Sus scrofa: one gene and its partners. The main gene of each other region encodes a partner of the protein of the gene in region 3 in a complex. Links are inferred from orthologs where the notes say so. Each region holds a gene or a part of one and is shown on either strand. Other genes may lie near its edges. The genes, in order: TNFRSF17, TNFRSF13C and TNFSF13B.

Evidence for each region.
Region 1: the proteins of TNFSF13B (region 3) and TNFRSF17 are in contact, whole or in part, in a crystal structure (PDB 1OQD), measured with the Homo sapiens proteins. The link is inferred for Sus scrofa from reciprocal best matches to the Homo sapiens genes TNFSF13B and TNFRSF17. Residues at the interface, in NP_006564.1 of Homo sapiens: Ser162, Tyr163, Lys204, Thr205, Tyr206, Ala207, Met208, Gly209, His210, Arg231, Cys232, Ile233, Glu238, Pro264, Arg265, Glu266, Asn267; in NP_001183.2 of Homo sapiens: Tyr13, Asp15, Ser16, Leu17, Leu18, His19, Ile22, Arg27, Ser29, Ser30, Asn31, Thr32, Pro33, Pro34, Leu35.
Region 2: the proteins of TNFSF13B (region 3) and TNFRSF13C are in contact, whole or in part, in a crystal structure (PDB 1OQE), measured with the Homo sapiens proteins. The link is inferred for Sus scrofa from reciprocal best matches to the Homo sapiens genes TNFSF13B and TNFRSF13C. Residues at the interface, in NP_006564.1 of Homo sapiens: Ser162, Tyr163, Asp203, Thr205, Tyr206, Ala207, Met208, Gly209, His210, Leu211, Thr228, Arg231, Cys232, Ile233, Pro264, Arg265, Glu266, Asn267, Ala268; in NP_443177.1 of Homo sapiens: Asp26, Leu27, Leu28, Val29, Arg30, Val33, Leu37, Leu38, Arg39, Pro41, Arg42.

What each region holds. Positions count from the first base shown.
Region 1 is NC_010445.4:31,135,655-31,145,155, forward strand, and holds TNFRSF17 (tumor necrosis factor receptor superfamily member 17), read right to left. Parts: upstream 6,209-9,501; 5' UTR 6,082-6,208; coding exon 5,964-6,081; intron 4,994-5,963; coding exon 4,862-4,993; intron 3,888-4,861; exon of another isoform or gene 2,528-3,887; coding exon 2,241-2,527; 3' UTR 2,018-2,240; downstream 1-2,017. UniProt on the Homo sapiens protein: Receptor for TNFSF13B/BLyS/BAFF and TNFSF13/APRIL. Promotes B-cell survival and plays a role in the regulation of humoral immunity. Activates NF-kappa-B and JNK.
Region 2 is NC_010447.5:6,696,408-6,705,894, reverse strand, and holds TNFRSF13C (tumor necrosis factor receptor superfamily member 13C), read right to left. Parts: upstream 6,070-9,487; 5' UTR 5,972-6,069; coding exon 5,836-5,971; intron 5,493-5,835; coding exon 5,250-5,492; intron 4,715-5,249; coding exon 4,533-4,714; 3' UTR 2,492-4,532; downstream 1-2,491. UniProt on the Homo sapiens protein: B-cell receptor specific for TNFSF13B/TALL1/BAFF/BLyS. Promotes the survival of mature B-cells and the B-cell response.
Region 3 is NC_010453.5:75,594,925-75,604,537, reverse strand, and holds the start of TNFSF13B (tumor necrosis factor ligand superfamily member 13B), read right to left. Parts: upstream 4,793-9,613; 5' UTR 4,781-4,792; coding exon 4,601-4,780; coding exon of another isoform or gene 4,457-4,600; intron 4,369-4,456; coding exon 4,281-4,368; intron 1-4,280. UniProt on the Homo sapiens protein: Cytokine that binds to TNFRSF13B/TACI and TNFRSF17/BCMA. TNFSF13/APRIL binds to the same 2 receptors. Together, they form a 2 ligands -2 receptors pathway involved in the stimulation of B- and T-cell function and the regulation of humoral immunity.

The DNA of each region.
Region 1 (9,501 bases), on a different chromosome or scaffold from region 3:
AGCCTAGTTTAGGGTCTGTCTGCCTCTGTAACCTTTGGTGAGGCATCACACGCCTGCTTCATGGAGTTGTCACGAGGGTTTGTGTCACACCTTCTTGTAGTGCCCTGTACCGGTTCTTCATGGTACTTGAGACGAGTGAGTTCGGAGACTGTAGCATGTGCCTTACATTCTCTACCACCCACTCAAAGTATTGTAATTCCTTCTTCCTGAGATTGAGCCTGGTACTGGAGGACCAGGTCAGAAACCTAATGTCAGCAGCTATTCTGGGCTTTTGAAAAATAGAAACTCACTGAGTGTCTAAGGGGAGAAGGAAGGCGGCTTGTGAGAAGCTAGGAGCAATATTCCTAGGCCATATCATAGAAAAAGGGTGCACCTATCCTCGGAGACTAGACCTCAAAGGGAAGGACTAATAAATAATGTGATGGTGTTCTTCCCACCATGGCTCAGTGGAAAGGAATCTGACTAGAATCCAGGAGGATGCAGATTCGATCCCTGGCCTCGCTAAGTGGGTTAAGGGTCCAGCATTGCCCTGAGCTGTGTGTAAGTCACAGACGCGGCTGGGATCTCGCCTTGCTGTGGCTGTGGTATAGGCCAGCGACTATAGCTCTGATTTGACTCCTCATCTGGGAACCTCCATATGCCAAGGGTGTGGCCCTAAAAAGACCAAAAAAAAAAAAAAAAAAATTTGTGATGGCAATGTAACTAACACAAAGTACTTTTATGGGGAAAATATCTATTTATACAAATGTGTGTGTGTGTGTTTTCATTTAATCCTTAAAACAATATTATAAGTAGATACTGTTATTATGCCCATTTAATAGATGGGGAAACAGGCATTGAGTGGTTAAGTAACTTTCTCAAGTTTCCCAATGTCTACGACTTCCTAGTAACAGACCCAGGATTCAAACTCTAAGAGCCAGTGCCTTAATCACTATACTCTGTTGTCACCTATGGCCCTCAAGGGCCTGGAAGGGACCCCACCTGGGGTTCAGAGTTCCCACCAAGTTTCCACATATCCCTAACCTGACACAAAAGCCACAAAGCCCCAAGACCTTGAAGGTCTATGCTGTGATGCCAGTGGGCATCTTACCTATGATCAGAGGAAGCAGATTACCAGTCAAGAAAGGAAACCAAAAGAAAAAAAAAAAAAAAAAAGCAAATTACCAGCCCTTCCATAACAGCCCAGGACTTTTACACAACCCCAGGAAGGGAACCCTCCCCCAGTAATGACTAAAATTGGAGCCCAAAGAGATGGGAAACTCAGAAATGGAAATAAATTGATGTGAAAAGAAAAAAAGGAATAGAGCAGAATGTCTGGGTTTAAATCTGGTTCTGCCATTCGCTGGCCTTGATCTGACTCAGTTCTGTTATCATCTGTAGCACGGAGCTAATAACCGCCCCCCTAACTTGTGGTTTGTTGTATGTGGTAAATGACTGCATACAGATAAAGCATTTGGAACAATCCCTGGCTGTTAGGAAGCCAGATAAGTGCATTAGGTCATAATAATGACACTTAATACACCTTTATCACAATTTGCAACTACACATGTACTACTGATTATAATGATGCCTGATGCCTTCATTAAGCTGGAAGCTCACAAGGTCAGGAACCGGCCATGCACTGCACACAGAAAATGAGTGTGGCCGGCGACTTCCTGCTATAAGGCAGTCTGTTAACCATCCAGCTTATCTCTGTGAAACCTCCGGTTCCATCCCGGCCCCTGGGCAGTGGGTGAAGAAACTGGCATTGCCACAGCAGTGGCTCAGATTCGATCCCTGGCCAGGGAACTTCCATTTGCCATGAGGGTGGCTGAAAAAGAAAAAAAAAAAAAAAAAAGGAATTAGTGTGACTGACTCTAGGTTCTCCTCCATACAGAATGCGCGGAGGATAACCTCGCTTCCCTTTCCCACTAAAGAGAGAAAGCCAGTCTCTCCTGAAACGTGTGTCTGTGTGTGTAGAAGAGAAGTGATGTCGGCATAGAAATGGGTGACGATGGGATCTACGCATTGAGGTGCCTTTTTTTTTTCCAATGGTCAATTTAATCATGAAACCGACGAAGTTTCCACAGCTAAGTTCCCATCAATAAGGTGGAAGGAAACATAAAGGTTTTCCAGAATTAGAGGACCAAGATCTATACCACCCACCGAGGAGTCAGGCGTCCTAAAGAGACGACACATCATCCTTTCCTTCCAACAAAAGACTTTCCAAGTAGCTCTCTGCCATCGAAACGGTGCGTTAATCATCTGGTAGAAATTGATTTCTCCAATGCCAGGGCACTCTCGGCAGCTAGCAGGCTGCTGCAGTAGCCATTTGTTTTCGTGGTGACAAGGATGGTGGCGCCTTCCTCCATGGCTGGGAGTGGAAAGAAATGGTCGGAATCGACCTTTGGTTCGCTCTGGACACAGTCTTCACACGTACATTCCTCTACCGTGTACTCCAGGCCTCTCGAAAGCAGCGTTTCCGCACCCATCCGGCCCTCGCTGCCATTGCCCAGGTCAGCGCCAGCACCCTTCTGGGGAACCGATCCTGAGGACGCAGAAACGGCACTGTTAACCCGAACTCTTCAGGGCACCTGGTCGTGCCAGACTTCGCAGCGCACATGGGGGATCCGAGCAGCACCAGGCGGATCTCTCATGACTCAGTGAATGAGAGGGCCCCAGAGTCGTGCGTGAACGGACAGCCCATGGGCCACACTGGCTTCAAAGACATGCGTGGTTTAGGGCAATGCAGGGTTTTTTAAGTGTTTGCTCATCTGTTTTATGGTGACCCTCACTTAAAAAATCAAGAGATTACACATACAAATCTACAAATCTAAACAACTGGGCCCCCCTCTTTTTTTTGGTCTTTTTACAGCCGCACCCATAGCATATGGAAACTCCCAGGCTGGGGAGTCAAATCAGAGCTGCATCTGGCAGCCTACACCACAGCCACAGAGACTCTAGATCTGAGCCGTGTCCGGACCTATGCTGCAGCTCGTGGCAGCGCTGGATCCTTAACCCATTGAGGGAAACCAGAAATCAAACCCACATCCTTATGGATGCTAGTCGGATTCTTAACCCTTTGAGCCACAATGGGAACTCCACGGCCACTTGGAGTGGACATTCCTACATGGGAACAAATGGGAGTCAACGGCACCTGTCTACTCCAAGCAGGGCCCAGGCTCCCCTACTGCAGAAGCCTCCAGAAGCCCCACTACATTAGTTTTTCACCCCCTTGGCCCTTGGACATATGAAGGTACTGACCCCTTTAACACATACGAAAGACAAATTACCATATGCAGGCACACCAAAACCAGTCTCAGGTGATGCACTAGTGTGCAAAATAGGGAATTCCCGTTGTGGCTCAGTGGTAATAAACCATGAGGACGTGGGTTTGATCCCTGGCCTCGCTCAGTGGCTTAAGCATCCAGCGCTGCCTCGAGCTGTAGGCTGCAGCTATAGCTCCAATTCTGTCCCTAACCTGGGGACAGAATATGCCTCAGGTGTGGCCCTAAAAAGACCAAAAAAAACCCCAAAAAGAATTCAAAATAAAGATGCCTTTCTTACAGAGCATTTTGTGGCCAATTCCTTTTTTTTTAATGCAGCTCTCATGACCCCATGAGGCAGGAGTCCCCACTGGCTGCCCCTGAAGGCACGTTCTACTGTCTTCCCAACCTTCCACCGTGTCACGTCACTCCATCTTCCAAAACATCACACTTAAAGTCACCTACCTGTCTCTCAAACCCCAGGTAAAAAAAGACAAATGAGTAAGTGACATGGAACAGCCACCTCCCTCTCCTCACTGTATACTGAAACGAAAATGAGGTGGATGCTTTTCAGATTATGCATGGAAAATACATGCATAAAGAAATAGGGCAAAAAAAAAAAAAAAGGAAATGGAGCAGAGCTACAAAGTATTTGATAAACAAACCATGGGCAAAGGTACAGAAAAAAAAATTTTTTTAGGGCCGCACTCACAGCACATGGAAGTTCCCAGGCTAAGTGTTCCCACTGTCTATATGCCACAGCCACAGCAATGCCTTATCTAAGCTTAGCCTGCAACCTACACCACAGCTCAAGGCAATGCCAGATCCTTACCTACTGAGAGGGGCCAAGGATCAAACCCTGCATCCTCATGGATACTCGTCAGGTCCGTTATCACTGAGCCACAACAGGAACTCCAAAAAAAAAATTTTGGGGGGGGACCGTGCCCAAGGCACACAGAAGTTCCTGGGCCCAGGGTTGAACCCAAGGCGCGTTGCCATGACAAAGCCGAATCTTCAACCCAGTACATCACAAGGGAAATCCAGAAATATATTTATCTTAAGAAGCCCTTAAGTAGAATGGTCATTTCTCTGGGGATGGTTTTCTATTGCTTAAGAAAGATAATCATCTTTGAGATGCTTGCTGAAATAATCCAGGAGCAACTGGTCTTCATTTCTACCATTTTTCAACAGTAAAATGGTCCCTCAAGCAAACACTTACATTTGTATTAGAATATGGACACAGATCTTGCCAAATATATTTTTCCTGATAGGAGCAGACCTGGCTCGCTGTTTCAGGTGGCATGACATTTGATCCATGTGCTAATTTCGGCCAGAGAGAAGGATGTTCCCCAAGGAAGCCTCAGTCCCTCTGAAGAGTAATTACCGAGGGAAGAATGTCTGTGGGGAAGGCTGACACCTGCAAAGGAGGGTGTAAACACCGGAGAGAAAGCTCCCTTCTTCCAAGAATTTCCTTTAACATAACTGTCGTCTGACACACTCTAAAGGGCTCTCCCCAAACCCGGTGCTCAACAGGACAAATGAAAACGAACTGAAACTCACAAGCGCAACCTCCTGGAAACAGATTTCAAAAGATGGGCCATCAAAGTCAAACCAACCTGGGTTTCTAAGTTCGTCCCTCAGTGGTCCGGAGCTCCTCTTCCTTAGCAAGAACATCAAGATGAAAACTGTCAAAGAAACTATCAAGCTCAGGCCCAAACAGGTCCAGAGAATCACATTTGTTCCTTTCACTGAATTAAAAAAATGTCAGAGAGAGAATGAACTAATAACGTCATATTCGCATCCAGTAAAGGTTGTTTTTTTCTCTCTGAGTCTCCCTAATGCCTTGGCACTGACTTTTAAATTCTAGATAATGCTTAATTAGGAGAGGTGATTTAAAAAAAAACAACCTCTGTGGTTAAGAGTGCTGAATGAAATCGGGTTCAGTTCTGAATAATTACTTTGCTCCTGTCGGCATTTAAATAATTGCTTTATTTTCTTACTCTTTTTGATGCAGAAAATCTCACCACCTTCCCGGAATGTTACTGCTCTGAATAAATAGTCAGTAGAGAGAGAATACCTCACACCAGTTGTAACCGAGCAGAGGCTGTGGGGCTCCTGAGCACACAAGTCTTTCTGGGTCCTCCGTCCTGGGCACACAAGTCTTTCGGGGTCCTCCCTTTCTGGTTTTTAGGAAATGAGCCCCAGCCTCCTTAACCTTCCCTGAGTTCCAAAGGGCAGCTGCTAATCAGGGAAGGGAGGGGATGCAGAGACCAGGGAGGAGCTGTCAAGAGACAGCAGGGCAGCCTTGGGGCGGGGTCCTGATTCCTCCTTAAGGAATATACATAACAATGTCTTTGAGCCTCGGTGCAGAACTAAAACCCCCAACACCTGGAAACACTACTGGATGAAACGGTCTTCATTCCAGGGAAGAAGGAGGACCACTAGCTTTGAAAGACATTGCAAGCTGGGCTCCATCCTGATCCTTATCTCTGCCCTATTTTCCACTCCCGAAGCTATCAAAGCACATCCTAGCCCCCTTCCAAGGTGGGCAGTCTTTAAGGCATTAGCCTGCTGTGGCCGCCTTTGCCTGGCAAAGCAATAAAGCTGTCTTTTTCTCCTTCGCCCCAAGTTCTGTCTCCACATTTCTATTCCGAAACAGTGGACGGAGGCCGAGTTTTCAGCAACACAATGAACAATTGTTCAAGCAGTATTACTTACTTGTATTACAATAATGCTGACACGTTACAGGCGGGGTATTAGAGCATCGAAGGCGACAGGGTTTGCAAGCAATCAGCAATCTGTCAAAATATTCATTCTGGTAGCACTGCTGAGCCATCTGGAACTTGGTCGCAAAAAGAAACAAGGAAACCACAGAAAGAACAGCATGGAAGGACCCGTAAAATCTCGTCGAGAATTCCCCAGAAAAATGTAGTGACAGCAGCTAGAATGTCAAGGGGGAAAAAAAAGAACGTTGCGTCGATGCCTTGGTTCTTATGGGGGCTGACGCCCAGGTCTGTGGCTGAGGATTTGAATACCAACACTACTTCCAGTTTCTTTCCAGTTTCAAAGTTTGAGTCTTGGGTATCGTAAGAGATGGAGTATACCTACCCAGAGCAAACCATACCTGAAACAGAAACTCCTTATTTATAGAGGAAATTTCTCAGCCAGGTGACAGTCACAGGATGTAGACAACCCTGAAACATTAAGCAGAAGGTTCAGTAACCATTTTCGGAGCATCTGTTCGTGAGCTATGCTGTGTGATGGGCCCCAGGGAGAGAGACCAGACAAGGTCTGTGCCTTTAAGAACTTAAAATCTAACAGGGAAGATGATGGGGCGGGGGGAATGGGATGGAGTAGGAGTTTGGAGTTAGTAGGTGCAAACTATTATATTGAGAATGGATAAACAACAAAGTCCTACTATAGCCCAGGGAACTAGATCCAACCTCCTGGATACACATGTTTAACTCAGTGACTTTGTTGTACAGCAGAAATGGGCACAACATTATAAAGCAACTATAGCAGTAAAATCAAAAATAGGGGAGGTAGAAATTCACTCAACTACAAAAGAATATAGTAAGAAGTGACAGAATGTGAGAGGAAAGGAATAGCAAGCACGCTTGCCAGGTTTTAAACCTAGGAAGATTGGAGTTCGCGTCAGGGCTCAGCAGAAATGAATCTGACTAGGATCCAAGAGGAGGCAGGTTTGATCTCTGGTCTCGCTTAGGGGGTTAAGGATCTGGTGTTGCTGTGAGCTGTGGTGTAGATTGTAGACACGGCTCGGATCTGGTGTTGCTGTGGCTGTAGTGTAGGCTGGCAGCTACAGTTCCAATCAACCCCTAGCCTGGGAACCTCCATATGCCGTGGGTGCGGCCCTAGAAAGACAAAAATAAATACATAAATAAACCTAGGAAGAATCCCAGAATTCCAACACATACGGAATTCTAGGGTAAAAATTAAATTGGCAGAAGATAGGTTTGGGACATAACAATAACAATAATAATATGTTAAAATTAATATAATATTTTAATATATTATTAATAGCTATGTTTTATTGTTGAAAATTTAGGAAAAAAAAGCAGTTGAGCCTATAGAAAAATTATGCATAGTTGTAGCATCCATAAATAATCAGTTAATATTTTGATGTAGCACAGAGTTTGCCGATAGGCCTGCCAACGTGTTCTGTTGGCCAGCTTCTGATATTGATCTTTCTGGAAGGATTTCTGTAGGTGGATAGATAGATTGGTTGGTGTAGTACACTTTACTTTTTTTTTTTTCTTTTTTTTTTTTTCTGCTTTTTAGGGCCATACCCGAGGTATATGGAGGTTCCCAGGCTAGGGGTTGAATCGGAGCTGTAGCTGCCGGCCTCCACCATAGCCACAGCAACACAGAATCCAAGCCGTGTCTGCGACCTACACCACAGCTCACGGCAACCTCATGGTTCCTAGTCGGATTCATTTCCACTGAGCCATGATGGGAACGCTGCATTTTCCTTTTCACCTAAATGGAACCACAGGTGTTTGCTTTAAACCATACTGATGATGCCGGAAAGAAGTTACTAGGATCAGGGTTCTTCATGAAGCCAGAGAATGAACTTCAGGAACACACAGGCAGCAAGCAAGCAAAGTCGTTATTAGAGGAAAGCAAACAGCTCCCAGGACAGCTGGGAGGAGGAAGAGCCCCCTTCTCTATTGTCCTATGGGGGTTTTTATCCCTTAAAGATGGGGGGTACCAATGTGGGGTCCAAAAGATGTGGTTTTCTCCCCCTGGCCTTGCCCAGTTACCTCTATCAGTCCTTGTCCAATAGGGGTCTTAGGGGAGGAAATGTCCCGTAAGTCTCATGGTTTCTTTGCCCTTCTCTTCCCGTAAACTGAGTCACAGGGGTTAGAGATTAATGTCCATCTGGGCCTAGGTACACTCCCTAGAGTAAACAAGGCCTGTGGGGATGTTACTCCCTGGAGCCCTTAAGCCACACATGTTAATCAATAGCCACATCAAAGAAGGCACCGAAGCCTGGGCTCCTACACGGACCACCCGAGTTAATATTCTGCCTGACTGAGAGATACCCATACAGAGATATCCAGAGGTCAGGCAGAAATGCAGGACTCGGAGTTCCCGTCGTGGCTCAGTGGTTAATGAACCCGACGAGCATCCATGAGGACGCAGGTTCAATCCCTGGCCTCGCTCACGGCGTTGCTGTGAGCTGAGGTGTAGGTCACAGACATGGCTCAGATCTGGTGTTGCTGTGGCTGTGGTGTAGGCCTGCGGTTACAGCCCAATTTGACCCCTAGCCTGGGAACTTCCTTATGCCTCGGGTGCGGCCCTAAAAAGACAAAAAAAAAAAAAAGAAAAGAAAGAAATGCAGGACTCAAGTAAATAGTAAACAAGTGACAAACTTCAAATTCAGGAGAGTGATTACCTCTGGAGTGGAAAGGGACGGAAAAGAGGCTTCACCTGTATTGCTCGAATTTTATTAAGCTGAATGGTGGATACGCTGGCATTTACTGTGTTCCTCTATTTTTTTTTTAAATTATGCTTTTTATTTATTTATTTAGTCACCCCCTGGCAGGAGGAAGTTTCCAGGCCAGAGATCGAAAAGGACCTGGAGCCACTGCACTAACGATGCTAGATCCTCCACCCACTGAGCCACCAGAGAATTTCCTGCTCTTATTCTTTTGGGGTTGTTGTTGCTGCTATCTATACTTCTTCATATTTTTTGAAAAGTACATAATAAATACTAAAACAAAGATAATAAAATACAATGCAAGAATTAAAAACCACTTTTTTTTTTTTTTTTTTTGGTCTTTTTAGGGCCATACCTGCACCATATGGAAATTCCCAGACTAGGGGTCCATGCACAGCTATAGCTGCCAGCCTACACCACAGCCACAGAAACCCAGGATCCGAGCCACAGCAATGCCGGATCCCAACCTCCTGAGTCTGGCCAGGGATCTTACCTGCATCCTCAAGATACTAGTCGGGATTCGTTTCCACTGCACCACAATGGGAACTCTTTTTTTGTTTTTTGGGTTTTTTTAATGAAGGGCTTGAGCCCAGGGAAAAGTTTGAAGTTAGATCCATCAGAATCTCCCATTCCTCCAGGGTTTCAGGCGGTGGGGTCAACAGATGTGGCAGCCTGGGTGGGACAATCGGTTGCTGAAAGGGCTGTCCCAGCAGGTGCCACGCCCTCAGGCTCCTTCCAAATGATGACCTTTGGGAGACAGGAAAGGACACAGGAAAAGCATGATTAGAGGAGGGC
Region 2 (9,487 bases), on a different chromosome or scaffold from region 3:
TCCTGGATCCGGGCAGGACGCCCGGGATCGGTCCTCAGATTTCTGCAGCTCAGGGGGGTGAGGAGTTGCTTAGAAGCCCGTTGGGCCCCGGCACCCCTGTGGAGGCCCCCCCGGAACAGTTTCTTGGTCCTGCGGAGTTCCCCGGGAAAGAGCTTGGGCCGGGAACAGGGGCGTCTGTGTCCTCCTGGCTCCTCCTCCACTCTCCGTGTGACCTTGAGTAGTCGTTCCTGCCATCCCCCCACCCCCACAGGTCAGGACCCGGCAGCTGGGGAGCCCGCACAGGCTGGAGAGAGGTCAGATTTCCGCTCTGGGTGAGGGAGAACCTGGCCTGAGCCACCTACAACAGAGCAAAGGAGAGTGAGCTTCCCCCCAACCCCCGTGCCCAGAGGAGGGCCAGAGGGGTCTGGTGGCCTCTCAGAGGTGACAGTGAAGGGTGGGACCGAGGGGTGGGGCTGGAGGAGCACCTGGTTCCCTGAAGTGGGTGGCCCTGTGTGAATGGTCAGGAATGGCCCCAGGAAAGGTTCTGGCACTCAGGGGCCCTGGTGCCCAACTCTCCAGGCTTTTCTCCTGTTCCCTCTGCTCTGCGCCTTTGCACACAGTTCCCTGGGCCAGGAAGGCTTCTCTGCTCTATTCCAGCAGGAAAACGCTGCAGGACTCAGGGCATACCTCCTGCTCGACAAAGCACTCTAAATGCTAAATTAGTCCCCCTCCTGCTTGAGGCATTCTCTGGCCCTGGCGGGGATAACCCCACCCTGTCACTGTGTCCTGCTCTGTCTCTCCCACTGGACTGAGACCTAATGGCATAGCCTGAGGCTGACCACCTGGCACTGACCAGGATGGCCCTGGCCCAAAGCAGGTGTGCTGGGATCAGGTGCGATCAGCGGGGCAGTAAATAGATAAGCAGTAACTCCTGAGATCAGAGCCTCAGGCCAGCCTCGGGAAACTTCCCAGGGACTTTCTGAGGGTTGGGGGCTCAGAGCAGAAAGTGTCTGCATCTCAGCAAAGGAAGGAGGTGGAGGCACTCCTGGCGTGGAGACCTCACCTGCCATGGGACCTCTTTAATCTTGGACAGCTGGTTGGCTTTCAGGCTCCAGGGGTTTTTTTGTTTTGCTTTTGTGGTGTTTTTTTGGCCACGCCTGAGGCATGTGGAAGTTCCCAGACCAGGGATCGAACCTTCATCAGAGCAGGGACCCGAGCCACTGCGGTGACAACACCAGATCCTTAACGGGCTGCACCACAAGGGAACGCCCAGGCTCCAATCTGAATGTGGGCGACAGGCCCAAAGACAGGCTACCGGCCTCCAGAGGCAAGGGTTGGCTGAGACAGAGGGAGCTTAGGGGTCAGGTCCTTCCTCCCTGGCCTCACCAGCTGGGCCTCCCCACCCCCACCCTGAGCCCAGAGCCTGGGCTGCCCGGCAGGAAGTGAGAGGTGCCTGCAGGAAGCCCCAGGAGGAACTGAGACTCCAGCCAGCCCCGCCCCCACCTGCCAAAACCCCGGGGACTGTGGGGAAACCTGACCCTTGATCAGGAAAAACTGGCCAGAAACAGGCCAGAGAACAGGGCCTGCGTCCCTCAGTTGCCAACCCGACAGGCAGCTCCTCCAGTCTGTCCTACATCCCTGTTACTGCAGAAAGAGACCAGTCAGGAGGGAAGCCTTTGAGGAGTGATGAAAACAAAGAGGAAAGCCTGGACTCAGTGCCTGGAGTCTGTCGCTCCCAAGGAGAACACCTGGGCCAGTGACTGACCACCCTCCGGGCAGGCAGGTGTCCGGGTCTAAGCCAGCTCCATCGCTGCTTATTGCATCTTGAGCCAGATCCCTTCTCCTCTCTGGGCCTCTTCTCGCCTATCTGCAAGATGGGTCATATAGTCCCTGCTCATGCAGGTAAATCGGTCCAGATTTTCAGGAAAGCAATTTGACCAACAGAGGCCTTAAAAAAGGTCAAGGCTGGAGTTCCCTTCATGGCTCAGCGGTTAACAAACCCGACTAGGATTCATGAGGACTCAGGTTCGATCCCTGGCCTCGCTCAGTGGGTTAAGGGTCCAGTGTTGCCATGAGCTGTTGGTGTGGGTTGCAGATGTGGCTTGGATCTGGCGTTGCTGTGGCTATGGTGCAGGTTGGCGACTGGGAACCTCCATATGCTGCAGGTGTTGCCCTAAAAAGCAAAGCAAAGCAAAAAAAAAAAAAAAAAAAAGTCAAGGCCTGTGGCTGAAATTACTCTCCTTCTGGGAAACAGACTCAGGCAAAGATTTATGTTTAAAGAGGTGCTACTGCCTCAGTTACAATAGCAGAGGTCGAAAACACTCAAGTGGAAAAGTTTACAAATGAAAACTTTGGTTTAAAGACAAAATTCAGCAAATATGATAGTCAAGATACGAATTTCCATGTATAGAATGGTTACTCAACCCTGGTGTTCTGAATCTGGGGTGACTTCCCGAAAGACTCCACCCTGGACTACCATCCTGAACTTTCCAAAGTGTCTACAAAACACATCTCAACTTTTTGTTCTTTTAATAAAAGTCATTTTTTAAAAAAGCAAACACAAGTACCCACTCCCCTCCTCCTGTTGTGAAGACCAAATACATTCACTTCCAGAAGGTTCTTTAGAAAGCAAGGGCAGGATGGAGGGCTAGAAAATGGAGGCCTCTGGGAGGTGGGGCTTTTTTAGGGGAGACAGACCCCATTCTTGTCCACCCATCCCCTGGCCTCTGCTCCTGGTTCCTCCCCAGGGAATTGCCCTCTGCGATTCGCTGGATGAGGCCCCCTCTCTGGGCCTCAGTTTTCTCATCTGCAAAATGGAGGGGGAGTGTGTGCTCTCTCGAGTTCCCTCCCAGTCCTCCTGGGAGAGCCACGGGCCAGGAGGAGAGCTTTGTATCCCCCTCCCCCCATTTTTCTTAAAAGGAAACTGAGACCAGACCAGGGGTTCAGTGGGCACACAGTGGTGCCCGAGGTTTGCATGTCTGGGCCCCAGGGGGGTTTCACCCACTTGTTTCACCTCCAGGTGCCCCCACCCCCGGCTGCGGTGGAAAAGATGGTGTGGGAGACAGGCATGGCCGGGAACAACTCAGACTGCTCCCCAACCCTGAGATGGAGAGAAGGGGAAAGATGGGCCCATTCTGGGCCTGCCTCCCACTGTCCTGCCTGTTGCGCCCACCCTGACCTCACCCCAGCCACCTGGCAGCCAGGGAGCGGGGGACATCTGAGCCGGGTTCAGGAGGGAGAGGTGGTCCTCGAGGCTGCAAATGCTGCTGACTGCTGACTGCTGACTCTTCTGAGCTGGGAAAGGGGTGGGCAGGCAAGGTGGGTATCTGCTGGGCAGCTCTGATAGGCAGGTCAGGGAGAGGCGGGCAGAAAGCATCGGATGCGCAGAACAGAACAGGGTCAAGGACCTACAAGTGGAACAAACTGGTACCCAGGGTCCCATCTTCTGACTCGCCGTCCAGTGCCCCTTCCGGGGGTGCTAAACTGTGACAAGTTCCATGGCACTGTCCAGGGTGAAGTCCGGGTCAACTGTTTCTAACTCTGTGTAGGAGGGCCAGCAGGAGAGTCAGTGGCCAGCTGAGTTCACAGTGTGGTCCAGAACTGGAAGAGATGGTCTCAGCTCCACTCTCCAGGGCAAGGGGCACCAGTGTCCGAGGAACAGTTCCACTGGGATGATGGGTGACTGCAGGGAGCTGGCACAGAATGGCCAAGTGACCTGAGCACTTGAGGAGGACAGGCCACAGAAGGGAGCTCAAGGGATATCAGGTCCAGCTGGTTCAAGGCTACAGGCCTGCCCTGGCCTCTGAACAAAAGAGCCTCCTGCAGGTCTTGGGCCCTGCCCTGTGTACAGCTCAGAGTGCTCTGGAGGCGGCTAGGACTCCAGGTGGTCTCTGATGGAGAGGCCTGCCAGGGTACCTTCGGTGTGAATTTGCAGTCCAGCCCCAGAAGCTGTAGACTTCCTCCCAAGTGTGAGCCTGGGGTTCTGGAAGCGGCCACCAGGGTAAAGCTGGCATCGTAAGTTCTAGCAGGTTGGGTCAAACTCAGGGCTGACCCTAGGGTACAGGTGCCAAAGAATCAGGACAATCCAGGCTATTTCTTAGAATTACCTTGTGCGAAATCCCAAAGGGTCAGTTGGTTACTCATTGCTGTCATTGGCATCAGTTTAAAAGCAGAACGACTCTGAGAGCAAGTATTAAATACAACATACAGCCACAAATTAGGCATCCTCCCACTTGATCCTTCTCCTAGATTCATTTTGGCTGATGGTGGCTTCCCCATGCTTAAAGAAAAACGCCTACTCAGGGTGCCCAACCCCTCAAAGGCACATAGCTCAGGCTTTGAGGGCTGCCAAAGATAGTCTGATTTTAAGCCAAATGCGAACACGCCATAGGATCCCATGTAGTCCGAACCCTGTGTCTGCAGCGCCTATAGTTCTGCAGGATGAGCCCGGGAGCAGCTTGACTCTCAGTAAAGAAGCAGGTGGGACCAGGGGAGAGGAGCCGAATTCAACCTCCAAGCCTCTGCCTGAGGGCAGCCTCCTGTCCCCTCCATCGCTACTGCTGCTCAGGGCCGGCCGTCTTGGTGGTCACCAGCTCAGTGGAACCCAGCTCCGTGGCTGGCACAGGGACGCTGTGGGCAGGTGGGGTGGTGGCTGAGTCTTCGCTGGGTGGAAGCCAGATGGGAGCAGTGGCATCCAGGGTTCCAGGAGAGGGGACGATGTCATTATCCAGGGGCCCTGGTTGGGGGGTGGGGGGGTGCAGGGTCAGGATTGGGTCACAGCCTTCCGCCATCCCGTTTCTGGAACCTCCCCGGAGAGAGAGCCCTCCGACTTCTGAGAGAAGTCAGGCGAGGAAGCCCCTAGGCGGCGGTGGGGAGGGGGAGGGTGGCACATGATGGGCCCTCGGGACCGGAAGTGCTGGGAGGGTTTGCGCAGTGGCAGTGCTGACACTGGGAGAGGAGGCGTGGGGGTCAGTTTGGCCTTCCCGGAGCGAGGGCAGGACGACCCCTCCCTCCCCCGGGCCCCCAGCCCGCGTCTTCCTCACTCAGGCGCTCACCAGGCCGGGACCCTGGGCAGGGCCGCTGCTCCCCGCTCAGCCTGAGATCTCAGACGGCGCCCCTCGCCGCCCCCTCCATCTGCCTGGCTTCAGACCCCCTTCCCAGGGCCCCTAGCCCGCCAGGGCCATGTGTCCCCTCCGACGGCCCCCGTCCCCCAGGGCCGGACCTTCCCGGGCTGGACAGTGCCTCTCGGTTCCTCTAGACGGGGAACGTACCGTCCTGGTCTCCGTCCAGGGCTTCCGGGGCCTCCGGGGCAGCCGAGGCGCGGGGCCGTTGCCTGCGGCGCCTCCAGCTCACCAGGCCCAGCAGGACCAGGGCCAGCGCCAGGCCCAGCAGCGCGGGGGCGCCCAGGAGCAGCGCCGGGAGTGGCAGCGCGGCCTCGGCCTCGGCGGCCCCGGGCCCCACCGACTCCTGCGGCTGCAGCGCCGTCCCGGGAGCCAGGCTGCTCGGGCCGCCTGCTGGAGGGGACGGAGAGGGAGGTCAGGGGCAGAGGGGAGGGAAGAGAGGGTAGGGGAAGGTCGGAGGGAGGAGAGGCTGGGACGGGAGGGGAGGGACAGCCGGTGGGGGGGGGGGAGCAGGAGGGGCCACGGCCGCGCGCAGGCTCCAGCCCGCAGCCCGCATGGCTGAGCCACTCAGGCTCCAGCCCACAGCCCCCCGTTAACTGATGCCCCAGCCCGGGTCCTGGGCAGGTGCGGGCCATGCCTGCGGCTCTGGCGGGGCACGAGCCTCGGTGGCAGGACCCTCCTTCCCTCCACCAGGGCTGCCCTGGCGCTCCAACGGCCAGAGCCGGGTAACGCTTACCCGGTCCAGGATCGGGCGTGCGGAGGAGGCTGCAGGCCACGCAGTTGCGCACCAGCAAGTCGAAGCACTGGGTCTGCAGGCACTGCGTGGGGACCGGCCCGTCCCTGCCCCTCAGACTCCTCGCCCTTCGCCTCATGCTGCCAAAGCCCAGGCCTGTCTGCACACCCTGCCGGGACAGAGTCTGGCCTCTGCTGCCCCACGGGGAAGAAACCGGGAGGGGCCGCCACCCACTCCGCCCCGCCCCGCCCTCCTGCCTGCTGGGGTGGGACGGGGTGGGACCACTCTTAGCCAGGGCCTCAGCACCCCAGACCTTCTATCTGTGGTTCCTCCATTCAGCCACTCAACCATCACCCCCAGACAACCACGGGGCGGGCTCCCTGCTGGGCACTGGGACAAGGCTGGGGCTCAGACAAGGGCCCGCCCTTGGGGAGCAGAGGATGGGTCCCTGAAGAGGACACAGACCTCGGGGAGGCCTCTTCTGCCCTGCCCCCCAAGGCCAGCCCATAGGCCCAGGTGCTCCCCACCAGCCATCTCCCCCCAGCTGCCTCCTCTGGGAAGCTCTCCTGCCCTTCTCCCGCAGAGCTGGTCAGTTCATCGAAGACATCCTGAGGGCCCCCACATGGTACCAAGCCCCAGGGGACTCACACTGGTGGTGGTGATGGGGGAGACGACACCTCACAGCATGGCATCAGTGAAGGTGGTACCACAGGGCACGGGAAGGCTTTGTGGAGGAGATGATAAGGTGTTTGCTGGCTGAACTGAGGTCGCAGGGGGCGGGGGGCACCCAGGGTGAGCAAGGGGCCTGGGGGCCAAATACGAAGGCCAGGGAATGCTGGAACCAGAGGGCCGGGCTGGGGCCTTAACTGAGAGAAGCTCGGATTCTGGCCAGAAGGGCACTTGAGAGCCATGCAGGGAGTGACACAGTCAGAACCGCTGGCTGGAGTGGAGGGCACAGACCGGGGGCAGCTCGGTCTCCAGATCCTAAGCAGGAGGGAGGCTCAGATCAACAGATGAGCAGACAGACCCAGGCCCAGTAGGCACTAAGTGGGCAGCCCACCCACCCCACCTCCTCCTCCCAGGGCTGTGTGTGTCCTGGCCTGCTCGCCTGTGTCTCTGTGGGGCCTCTTCTGTGTGTCTCCACTCGCCAGTGTTTGGGGAAGCCCCACCTGTCTCTCACACTGAGTGTCAGGCGGACACTCAAGCCCCCTGGGCCTTCCTGGACTTCCGCTGCCCCCTCCCCCGGGGCAGGGGCTGGCAGAGAGCCTCAGCATGGACCACGGGCTTAGAGCCTCATGGTGGGCCTGGCCAGACCCTGGGGCACTCAGGGCTGGGGGTGTACAGCGGAAGGACTGACAGTCCCTGGGGCACGGAGGGGGCTTAGGGGCTGGAGTAGATCTTCAGCAGCTCAGAGGGGAGGGGAAACTTCTAGGCAGAGGGCAAAAGCAGGAGCTGGGAAAGTGGAAGCCGACTCTGGGGACAGGCCTGGCCCCTGCCTCCAGAGGTGCTGCCGAGGGAGAGAGACTGAGGCTGCAGCTGGGCGGGCCAGGCCGCAAGCCATAAGCCCTGGGCAGTGAGGAGCCCCAGGAGGTACCTGAGTGGGGGAGAGGGTCTGAGCTGTGCCTTTGAAGGGACGTTCCCCCTGCTGTGGGGTTGGAGACAGGGTGAGTGGAGTAGCAAGGAGGCTCCCCCATGACTCAGGGCCAGGGAGCAGCCAGCAGCTGTTTAGGAGGGAGGAGTGATGCTATGGAGTGAGGGGAGCAAGGCCGGCCCCCAGGTTTCTGGCTCCGAGGACACGAGGACTCACACAGAACCTCGAGCCGGCTGGCCTTGAGCCGCCCTGGCCCACTGCCTCTCCGTCCCCTGCCCACGGGCCAGCAACTCCGTAGCAGGAAGGTGTAGGCGGTGGGGCAACTGCAAAGGAGAAGTGGGTCCGGGGCGGTGGGTGTGGGTGTGAGTGGGGGTGTGTGGTGAGGGGGTGGGGGAGCCAGGGGCCTGCCAGGAGCCAAGGCAGGGAAGGGCCTCCTTAGGGCAGAGGGGTGGGGGCAAGGCCTAAAGACTGGGCCCCTGTCCCCCCCCCCATCGCTACTGGTCCTGTTCTCACCCGCGACCCTCAGGGCGGCAGGGCCCTTACCACACATGCGGCATCTCTTCACCCCCAGCCAGATGTTCAGGCCAAGTGGGCTGGGTCTTGGGACCCTGGAGGGGGAGCCTGTCCCCGGGAGAGGGGAGGCCACTCACAGGAGCCACCTCTATACCGGCCACCTGGAGGGAGAACCAGAGAGGCTCCACTTTCACCCTTACCAGTGCCTCCTAAGTGCCTGCAGTGGGCAGTGCCAAGCACAGAGTGGGCAGCAGGATTGGTGTTGATGGTGTGTGGGGCACCTGACTCCAGACAGACCTTCCACTTGCACCTTCTAAATAGGGAAGTGGGGGGATGTTCCCGTCGTGGCTCAGCCGTAACGAACCCAACCAGTATCCATGAGGATGAGGGTTCGATCCCTGGCCTCACTCCATGGGTTAAGGATGCGGCATTGCTGCAGCTGTGGGGGTAGGTCACATACATGGCTCGGATCTGGTGTTGATGTGGCTGTGGTGTAGGTCACAGCTACAGCTCTGATTCGACCCCTGGGGACTCTCCATATGCTGCGGCTGTGGCCCTAAAAAGACTAAATAAATAAATAAGTAAATAATAAATAAATAAATAATAAATAGGGAAGGGGGGAGTGCTCGAGTCTCCACTTCCACAGCTTAGCAGTGAAGAATAGAAATTTCACCCTCAGACCAATGTAGTAAAAGTCAGGTTATTCCTCAAGTTTTTTTTTTTTTTTGTTTTGTTTTTTTTGTCTTTTTAGTGCCACAGCCGCAGCATATGGAGGTTCCCTAGCAGTCGAATCAGAGCACATCAACGCCAGACCCGAGCCGTGTCTGTGACCTACCCCACAGCTCACAGCAACGGCGGATCCTTAACCCACGGAGCGAAGTCAAGGATCGAACCTGCACCCTCATGGATGCTGGTCGGGTTCATTAACCACTGAGCCACGAAGGGCACGCCTCCTCAATGTATTTTTTTTTTTTTTTTAACATAGCTCCTTAAAAAAAGACACAACAAAAACCTTCATTATAGGTGATTTACAATGTTCCGTCCATTTCGGCTGTATGGCAAAGTGACCCAGTCATACATATATACACATACTTTTTTCCATATTATTTTCTATCATGTTCTAACCCAAGTGATTAGCTCTAGCTCCCTGTGCTGTACAGCAGGACCCCATGGCTGATCCATTCTAAAGGTAATAGTTTGCATCTATCACCCCCAAACTCCCCGTCCATCCCCCTCCTCCCTCTCCCTCTTGGCAACCACAAGTGTGTTTTCCATTAACATAGCTCTTAGGTCAAGGTTATTAACTTTTTGGGGGGTGGGGAGCTGTGCCTGTGGCATGTAGAAGTTCCCGGGGCCAGGGATCAAACCTGCACCACGGCAGCGACCTGAGTCACTGCAGTGAAAACGCTGGATCCTTAAGCCACGTCACCACAGGGAATTCCCAAGTTTATTAATTTTCTAAACTTAAATCTTCTACATCACTTCTTTTTTCTGTTTTAGGGCCACACCCACGGCATATGGAGGTTCCCAGGCTACGGGTCGAATAGGAGT
Region 3 (9,613 bases):
CGCCTGGGGAAATCTGGCTTGGATTTATAGAAAATTAAGAATGCGTAGCATTCCGGTGTCTTACTTAGCAATGTGTAGTTATGAACCTTTTTGACACAGTTATAAAATGATGGCACACTGACATTAAGGAGTAAATATAGAAAGCAGAGTATTCTAGAATAGGAGTTCTCTTGTGGCATAGTGGGTTAAGGATTGGGTGTTGTCACGGGAGTGGCTCTAGTCACTTCTATGGCACAGGTTCAAGCCCTGGCCCAGGAATTTCCAAATGCTTCAGGCACAGCAGCAAAAAAAAAAAAAAAAAAAAAAAAAAAAGAAAGTCTAGAATAGGAGTTCCCACTGTGGCACAGCAGTTTAAGGACCTGGTGTTGCCACAGCTGTGGCATAGATCACAGCTGCAGCTTGGATTACCTCCATGGCCCAGGAACTTCCATATGCCGTGGGTGCAGCCAAAAGAGAAAGAAAAGCCTAGGACAATATTATAATTCTATTAAGCATAAATCCACCAAGTGTGCTGATTTGGCTTAAAAAATAAGCCTAAGATCAAATACTGAATAATTTACTGAAAATTCCATATGCTTTTAACAGTTTAACAAGCTATTTGAAAATGCTAAGACTTCAAACTAGCAATAAAATGTCTTTAGGTTAACTATGAAAGAAACTATAAGGAACTACATAAGAAAAGCTGTCCTGTAAAGTTTAAAATTCTATATTTAATAGACATTAGAAATTCTTGAATATATAAATTCAACAGGGTGAAAATTCATTTTCTTCAGAGTTATAGTTTTAATAGAAATGCAACAAAGTGTGTATAAACATATATAGAAAGTCAAGAAATAAAATGGAAACTAACACTTTGAAGATAAAAGGGAGTTTTACTTAAAATAAACCATAACAACGAGAATGGAAACAAAAAACAAAGAAAGTTGCATAGATTCAGACTGCATTTCTGCATTTTCTCAATTCCAAAAAACAACCCTACTAAACAGAAAACAAACAAAAATAGAATTTCAGACAATCTTTTGGTATATGTAGTAGATTCATATAGAGAGAGCCATTAATTTTGGAGTAGTGCTAAACAAAACGGATTTTTCCCTGCACCAGAGAACAGTGTCTAAAATAACACTCAGGCCAATTTCACTGGCAAGGCATAGCCGGTATTACCTGCCACTAAGGCTCTGGTCTTCACACCTTTCATCTGGGAGTCTACGAATGTTATGATATTCATAGAGATATAGAGATAGGAGGAAATATATGTGTGCTACGTACTATACACACATACACATACACACATGGTATATACAATACACACACATATACACCACAGACACGCTACATTCAAGGTTTATAAAAATCTGGGGCAAACTATGATAATGACAACAGTGATTATATCTGGGATATAGAAACTGGGTAAATTTTTATTCATTGGTTAGAATTTTCTGCTATTTTCCAAACTTTCTCAAAGTTGCAAATATTTGGGGAAAATTTTTTGTCAGTATACAATTTCTGGATGCCATGGAAACACCAACACGAAAAAACTTGCACTAGAGGAGATTTTAAAATATTAACAGAAGATTTGAGGGGGGGGGAGTGCAACTCTGGGGATAACTGATTTCTTTCTTTTTTTTTTTTTTTTGGTCTTTTCTAGGGCCGCACCTGTGGCATATGGAGGTTCCCAGGCTAGGGGTCTAATCGGTGCTGTAGCCGGCAGCCTACACCACAGCTCAGGGCAATGCCGGATCCTTAACCCACTGAGTGAGGCCAGGAATCAAACCTGCAACCTCATGGTTCCTATTCGGATTCATTAACCACTGAGCCACGATGGGAACTCTGCGGATAATTGATTTCTTACTTAATTCTTTTCTTCTTAAATCTGCTGTAATGCGTCTATATCCTCTTTGGAATTGGGAAGTTAGGGTTTATTTTTAATAATAATATTTAGAGACAGGGGAAGAGTAGCTAAGAAGGTTGAAGAAGATTGAGGCATACTCACCCTACTAGATATTGAAGCTCATTATATTATAAAATCACTTATAATATTTTATTTATCACAGATAGATAGGATAAAAAATCAATGAAAAAAGGAATCTCAAAGTAGATTCGACTATATATGAGGAACTTAATACAGGAAGCTTCCCAACCCAAAGGAGTTAAAAAGAATCATCTAATTAATTTGGTTGAGATATTTAGCAAGAGTTTGGAAGGGAAAAGTAAAAGAAGAAAGGGGAAGTTAAGGCCAGTATGACATGACCTACCAAAATAAACTCCAAGGTTAATGGATTAAATACCAAGCTACAACACTAAATTATAAAAAAGTCAAAATGGCAGAGGAAACAATAAACTGCTTAAGAGATTATGAACAAATGTATTTTAGCTTTGATAGAGAAATCAAAAGGACAAGTGTTTCACATTAAAATACACAGATGCAAAATCTCTGCACAAGTTTTTGAAAAAACAGCAAAATGTTGTGAAAATATTTACATCAAAATTTTGATAAGTAATATGTCAAATATAGAGTTTATTCAGAATTGTTTTAAAAATATGACAGACAAGTGAGGGAAGTTATAAATAAAAATCAGCAGAAGATAAAATTAGAAGTTATCAAAATATGTGGAAAGAAGTTAATTCTTATTTGTCAGCAAGCAACAAATTAAATTTGAGGCACTGTTTTGCAACTACCAAACTAGCCCAAACACATTTTAAAGATAAAATGCTGTCAGAATGCGGAGAACTTGTACACGGAGTTTCTGACTGCACGCACTTATGATTCATTTTGAAAGCAACATGGCAACAGGTAGCAAGAGTGTTAAAGGTGTTTATCCTCTGGCTCAGACATTTCATCTATGGAATTTATGTTGAATAATATGCACATAATTCCTCAGACACAAAGAGATCTGCACAAAAATTGTGGCATGTTCTGCTATAGCCAAAAAAAAAAAAAAAAGAGTTGGAAATGATCGTATGATCACAGAATGATAACAAAGAAATTAATATAGATGAGTGAGAATTACTGAGAACTAAGGAAAATGCTTATGTAATAAGTGAACACAAAAATATGCCAAGACATATATGCTTGCAGTTTTCAACTATGTGTGTGTAAGAAAACATAGGTGATAAAATACAAAATCTGAAAACAATTGATGGGTTAAAGTATGCTAAAAATGTTTCCTAGTTTTAAAATGCTTAAACCCAATTGTTTCTGATAATTGGCTGGGAGATATGATAACCAGATAAAAATGTATGCTTTTATAATAAGGGAAGAATTTTTTCCATGAATAAGGCATTTCGTGAAAAACACGCTTACAGAAGCAGCATTGTGCGTGTGCCAGAAAAGCTAATCTGCGGGTCGCGCACTTCTCTTTAGAAGCACATAGACGGATACATAATTGCACACGGTGACTTCACCTCGCAGTCACCTTGCAGGTTAAAGGAAACAGAAGGTGTGACGATTCCCGTTCAAGTACAAGCGTGCTTGGCACATTCTAGGGGCTCAAAAACCTTCCTTCAATACAGAAGGGAAACAGTATCAAGGATTAAATTGCATGCTAAGTAAATGCAATGCAAATGCTCTTTTGCATCTTTGAAAGGAAGGAGCTAGAGCTGAATGTCTGGGGAGGCCCCACCAAATCTGAGGTTTCGGGAATCCACACAATTCTGTGGAACAGACCAGGAAGAGAGTCAGAAATCTCTAAAGAACTATTACAATAAGATTACAAACGTGTGGATCTCCTGGGAAAGCTCCGGTTAACGAAAAGCTCGAAAAGCTCTGTGTGTGTGTGTGTGTATGTGTGTGTGTGTGGAAGGAGCTCTATTCTTTTAAAAGCAAGAAACAAAATAAAGCACAGCCATGCACCTGCTCCCACCACCGACCTCCATGTGACTGCACAGCAGCTACGCTCCCCAGGAGATGCTCTTTTGCTGCCTTTCTTTGACCAGGTTCACAAAATTTCCTACATTCGCGCGTGGTGCTTTTTCTCCTGAACTGATGGAGGATGCTCCTGACATAGAAGGGAACTCTCTGCAGGGAGATGTGAGCCTCTTTCCCCACTTCTACGCTTCAACTGCCGCACAGATAAATAAATACCTGCCCCCACAAAATCCGCTCCCTGGAGCTCAGACATGCATTGTCAGCCTGGTGCTTTGCCCCCGCGCCGCTCCTGGCTGCGACGGTGAGCGTGGAAGTCTCCAGGTTCTGCGGGGCTCCCCTCTCCCAGTCCGATGCTCGCCTCCACACCTGTGAACGGGATCCCTGCCTCCTACAGGCTTCCGTGACCCCGACGTACCTGTTTCCTCCGCATCCTGCGCGGCGCGCTTACTCCTGTTGCTTTGAATGGAGCTGCTCTCCCTTGGAGCTGGTGGTGCAAAGATCCCCTGGGAAGAGAAAAGCCCCACGTTACCGCCAGCACGTGTGGGTCGTGGGGGAGCCCCGTGCCTGGGGCTGCGGCTGCCGCAGACTCACTTTCAGGGCCGGAGGGGCGGCCCTGGGGGCTGCGGCTCCCGCCTGGGGGGCGCCCGGCAGCCCCTCCGCCCGGTGCTCCCGCAGCTCCGCCCGGAGGCTCCCCAGCTCCGCTTGCAGGGAGGCCACCCGGCAGAAAGACAGCACCGTGAGGCAGCAGGACAGCAGGGCCAGCAGCAGGGTCACGACCAGCAGCTTCCCATCTTTGGAGATGCGGACAGAGGGGCTTTCCTTCTGGGGGAGGATGGGGACCGTCTCCTTCAGTTTCATTTCTTCTCTCGTGCTAAGGCAAGAAAGGCGTGACTGCTCCCCCGTGGAGTCATCCATTTCCCTCCTAGAACTTTGAAGGTTCGGGCCCTTAGAATCAGTGACCACAGAGGATGGATCATTTCCTGTTATCTGTGTTTGTTGATGTCCTGCACTGACTGCCCGGCCCAGCCCGGCGCTCGCCCTCAGGAGAGTTCTCCTGAATTTTCTCCCCTCTGCCCCGCTGCATCTCTGCCCCTACTGTACGCTAGGTCTTCCTGGCATTCGCCCTTCTATCCGATTGCTCAATCAGTCTTCCTCATTTCACTTTCAGTTTTTGTAAGAATTGCAATGGCATCACTGGGTCCTCAGGCACAAACGGGTGCCTGGCGTCTACTGATTGGAAGGAACTGGGGGTTCGGACCAGTACCCTCCAGCAGAGCTTTTCAGAGCCGGAGGTGTTTAAGGAGCTCCCTCTCAGGCACCAGGAGAGACCTGGCTTCTTCGCTTGGGGCCACTTGGCTTTACAGGGAAAGGGGGGGCAGCTTTCATAAGTTCCTGCTGGGTAATAAAAATAATTAATGCGAAGGTCAGATAAGCTAAGTGCTTCAGCGTTCAACTGTACTCAGCCAGAGAGTGATTTATTAACAGTCCTTAAGTAGGAAATAAAACGAAGCCTCCTCCAAGGAGGCATGAAAGTCCGTTGGGGAATGTTTTCCATGTTATCATCTTAGCAACTGAAGAAAAAGGATGTGCCTGAATTTGGGAGCCCTGCTGAGAGTAGACACGGGGGATTCTTTAAAGGCATTTTGAAGAAAAGCCTGCCTAATCTTCCTCCTTCTGGACCCGCTGCCCCAGAGGACGGCCAGTTCTGAGGAGCGGTCCGACCTCTGCTGTCCCCACTCCTGGGGCTGCATGTCCTGGCTCCGTCTGACCACATTTGGGGGAGATTCTGCCTTATCTCAGCTCCAGAAGCCTGGGTCTTGCCACTAACTGCTCCTCCCCTAAAGCAGCGTATCTGCTTGGCCACATGAGGTTGACTCTGTCCCCATCTCATGGGTCTGTAGGACACCCCAACTCGACCCAGAGGGACTTTAGTTTCAAATCTCTGTTGCTGGATGTGGCGTGCCTATTAGGACACCAATCCCACCTGAGATTCAGTGTTCTCATCTGTTAGATGGGGTGACAACCGGCCCTGAGAAGTTGTAAGGAGCCTTAGAGGAATGTGGAACAAGCTGCCTTTAAGACCCTCCATTTTTCACTCATTTCCATCCATTCATTCATTCATTATGTGAGATATATTTCATTCATACATTTTATGAATGAATGTGTGTTTCATTTATCCAGAACACGAACTCTTTTTCATTATTACAAACAGTGCTGCAATAGACGGCTTTATGCCTGCGCCCATGCAACAGCTGCCAGGGTTTCCCAGGCACACACCTGCTGGAGAACAGGGACTGGTCACCTTGACCTTGTCTCTGAGGTATCTCTCAGGACTGCCTGTTTCCTCCTCATCTCTCCGAGTATGATGTCGTCAGACTTACTCATTTTTACCTGTTGGGGTTATTTTTTTCCTTTGCATCTGCAGTCCCAAGACTTTTTAAAATAAATTTTTTTAAAAATAAAATACAAAAATGTTTGGTCTTCTAGGGCCTCCCCCTTGGCATATGGAGGTTCCCAGGCTAGGGGTTGAATGGGAGCAGCAGCCGCTGGCCTACACCACAACCACAGCAACATCGGATCCGAGCTGCGTCTGTGACCTACACCACAGCTCACAGCAGCGCTGGATCCCCAACCCACTGAGCAAGGCCAGGGATCGAACTTGCATCCTCATGGATCCTAGTCAGATTCGTTTCTGCTGAACCACGACGAGAACTCTGGGAGGGGGGTAACTGATCGGCACACGAACACTGAGAACTCTGCCCAATATTCTGGGATCATCTCTGTGGGAAAAGAATCCGAAAGAGAGTGGTTGTGTGTGCACGTCGGACTGAGTCACTTTGCAGTGCAGCAGAAATGGTCACAAACTTGTCAACCGACTCGACTCCAATGAAACTTTAAAAATGAAAAAAAAATTATTTTCGTGATTCCCTTGGTCTCCCCTACCCGCGTGAGCTGCCCTGTCCTCTCTCAAGTGGCAGTCTTCTCTAAGAGAGCGTGCCCGCTCTTTGGTGTCATCCGAGCCTTTGTGACAGTCCTCGTTTCCGGGTCCATCAGCATGACGGACACTAGGTAAGAGGCCACTTTTTGAAAAAAGGATGAGTTGAGGGATTTACCTTCATGAACGAAAGTAACTGAACTTCGCCCAGATTAGACGTGCGTGTGTTACAGTAACGAAGCACCTGGAGAGATCAAAGAATTCAAGGCCGTGCTGGAAATCGATTACTCTCTTCTTTGACTCGGGACACGGGAGGCCACTGGGCACTTCTGAGCCTGGACATTCTTCCCTCCTGACAGGCCACCCCTCTCCGTGTTCTGCTGGAAAGTTCTGAAGACAAGGGGAATGGCGCGCTTTAGGGAATGACCTCCGCCTTCGCTGCTCTCCTGGAAAAGCTGCTGAGCAGCCAGCCTGCAGCCAGTTTGGTGCCAGGAGCCAGTCTCGGACCCTCAGGGGGCACCCCAGCAGAGACAGGGCCAGTGCTGCCCCTCCAAAGGCAGGTGGCTGCTGGCACCACCTCCCTCCCCCTCCCCCGCCCCTCCTGGACACGGCCACGGGATGTCCTCTGCAGCATCAGGAAATTCAAGTTCTCAGAAGACGCCTAGAAAACAGCCTGCAGTGCATGTGCTCTTGAATTTCTTATTAGAGGAACCAAAGGAGGTTGGTCCTCCATAAATCAAGGATCTGTTTCCTGCCGAGGAAAAGGCTGGACAGTAATTTAACTGGAATTCTATCCAACACATAGCACATCCATGTTGTCCACACGCCTGGAGGAGCCGGGCACTCTCACAGTTACCAGGGCCCTGCCTGAGCCAGGGTGCCCTGCCAGAGAACTGTTCTCTCTTTCCCAACTGGAGTGTCAGACGTTCTCCTACGACAGAGCTAAGGCAAGCCTCATAGAGAAATGGAGGGCCATGTCCCTGTCCCAGGCACTCAGGAGACGGCAGAGAGAAGGCATGTTTGGAAAGCATTTAAGATAGGAATTTATCTAGGGACTGAACCGCAATATCAATATTAAACACATACCTACCCTCTGATGGCTTGCTTCTTACATGGACAACCTCGAAACTGTTCTGGAAGCTTAATTTTAAATGTCTGGCTTAACCATTCTATGAAAAATTAGCTGGTCTGGGACATCACTCCCATACCCATGTCTTGGAGGAAAAACAGTGTCTTTCATAAGGATTTGGACCAATCGAGCGTGGAGTCAAAGGCTCTCCTAGATATACAGAGGTACGCAAAAATAGACCCAGGCAACACTGGCTTCCTCGAGGGCTCCGAAAATAGAAAATAGTTTGATAGAAATAGTTATTACCTTTCAGGAAACAAATCATGCTGTTTTCCGATAGAAACACGTACACAGTCATCTGCTACTGGAGCCCAGGGGAAACCTGGCGTGGAAGGCTAAGTGCTGGTCACTCTGTGTCACTGGACCATGAAGTAATGACATGGTTTTTAAAATAGACAACTCTGGTCATTTCTCATACAAAAAATAACGTCAGTGATTGGCAATGCAGACTTAACTATTTCTTAATAGTTATATTCAAAAGAGGAGTGTGTATGCATTTACTAGAGCTTAATTTTTGTCACTTTGGGGAAAAATCCACTTTTTAAAGAATTCAGTTTCATTTGCAAATATGTCCTCAATTTGTAGTATAAATGTTCTGAGATTTAACTCTCTTGAAGAAGGGTTTATTTCATTGTGTTGTTTTTTCTTTCTTTAAAAAACTTTTTTATTCATTGTGTTTTTCGACAAGCAATTTCTGTTTAATACAATTTTCAACTAGAGTGAAATTTAGTCTGTTACTCTTTACCTTTATAATACTTGCAAGAATAAGGGTTTCATGAGTATTGATGAATATGCGTCCATCACTGTGATGGCCTGTCCATTTCACACACTTCAGTTAATGTTTCTGTTTCACATGCATGACACCTAGGATACACAAGGACACACAGGAACTCCCAAATAATACCTGGCCAGATTTGAGCACCTCAAAAATATTGGGAGAAATGAATTCTATCTACGCAGGAAATACTACTTACAAAATCCTCACTGTCTTTAAAAATTAATAAAGCAGAGCTTTCAAACATGTTTCGTGATTCATTGCCGATTACATGTGAAAAGTAAAACAATGAGCTTAGCACTGTGGTTTGGCTTTGCCATCTGCCTGTACCACCAACGATGAAAGCGAATTACAAGCAGCGTCTCTTAGGGTTACCCGAGTATTAGGAAATAGAGAGGAACCACTCTCTTCGTTTCCAAATTTCAAACCAGACTTTAAGGAACATGGAATCATTCTCAGGGCTGAAGTAGTGGCAAACCCATGTATTTCAAACTACAGGTCAGGACCGAAATCTTAGGCCCATGTTGGACCATACTGAAGTCACTGGCATCATGTATAAATGCAGAAATACACACACTCTCTCGCATATAAAAACCCCGATGGGGGTTAGGTGTACAGCCTCTGGAGTCAGATACATCTGTCTGCCTAGTTGTGTTTGGCCATCTTCACAAGCTCTTTCCGAAGCCAAACCTAGAAAGGGATGCTGCGTAGATGTCCATCTCGGGAGGACACTGGCCGATTCCACACATTCCACACTTCGATCCTAATCCTTCTGCATCAGCACTTATTGCTACGTGAGGACAAGTAAGAGAGGTTTCTAACCACCAGGTGTAAGACTGGTCTCCAGGGGGCTCATGAGAACAAGCTCGTCATCTTTAAAGAGAAACAGAAGAAAGAGACGTCCTTTCT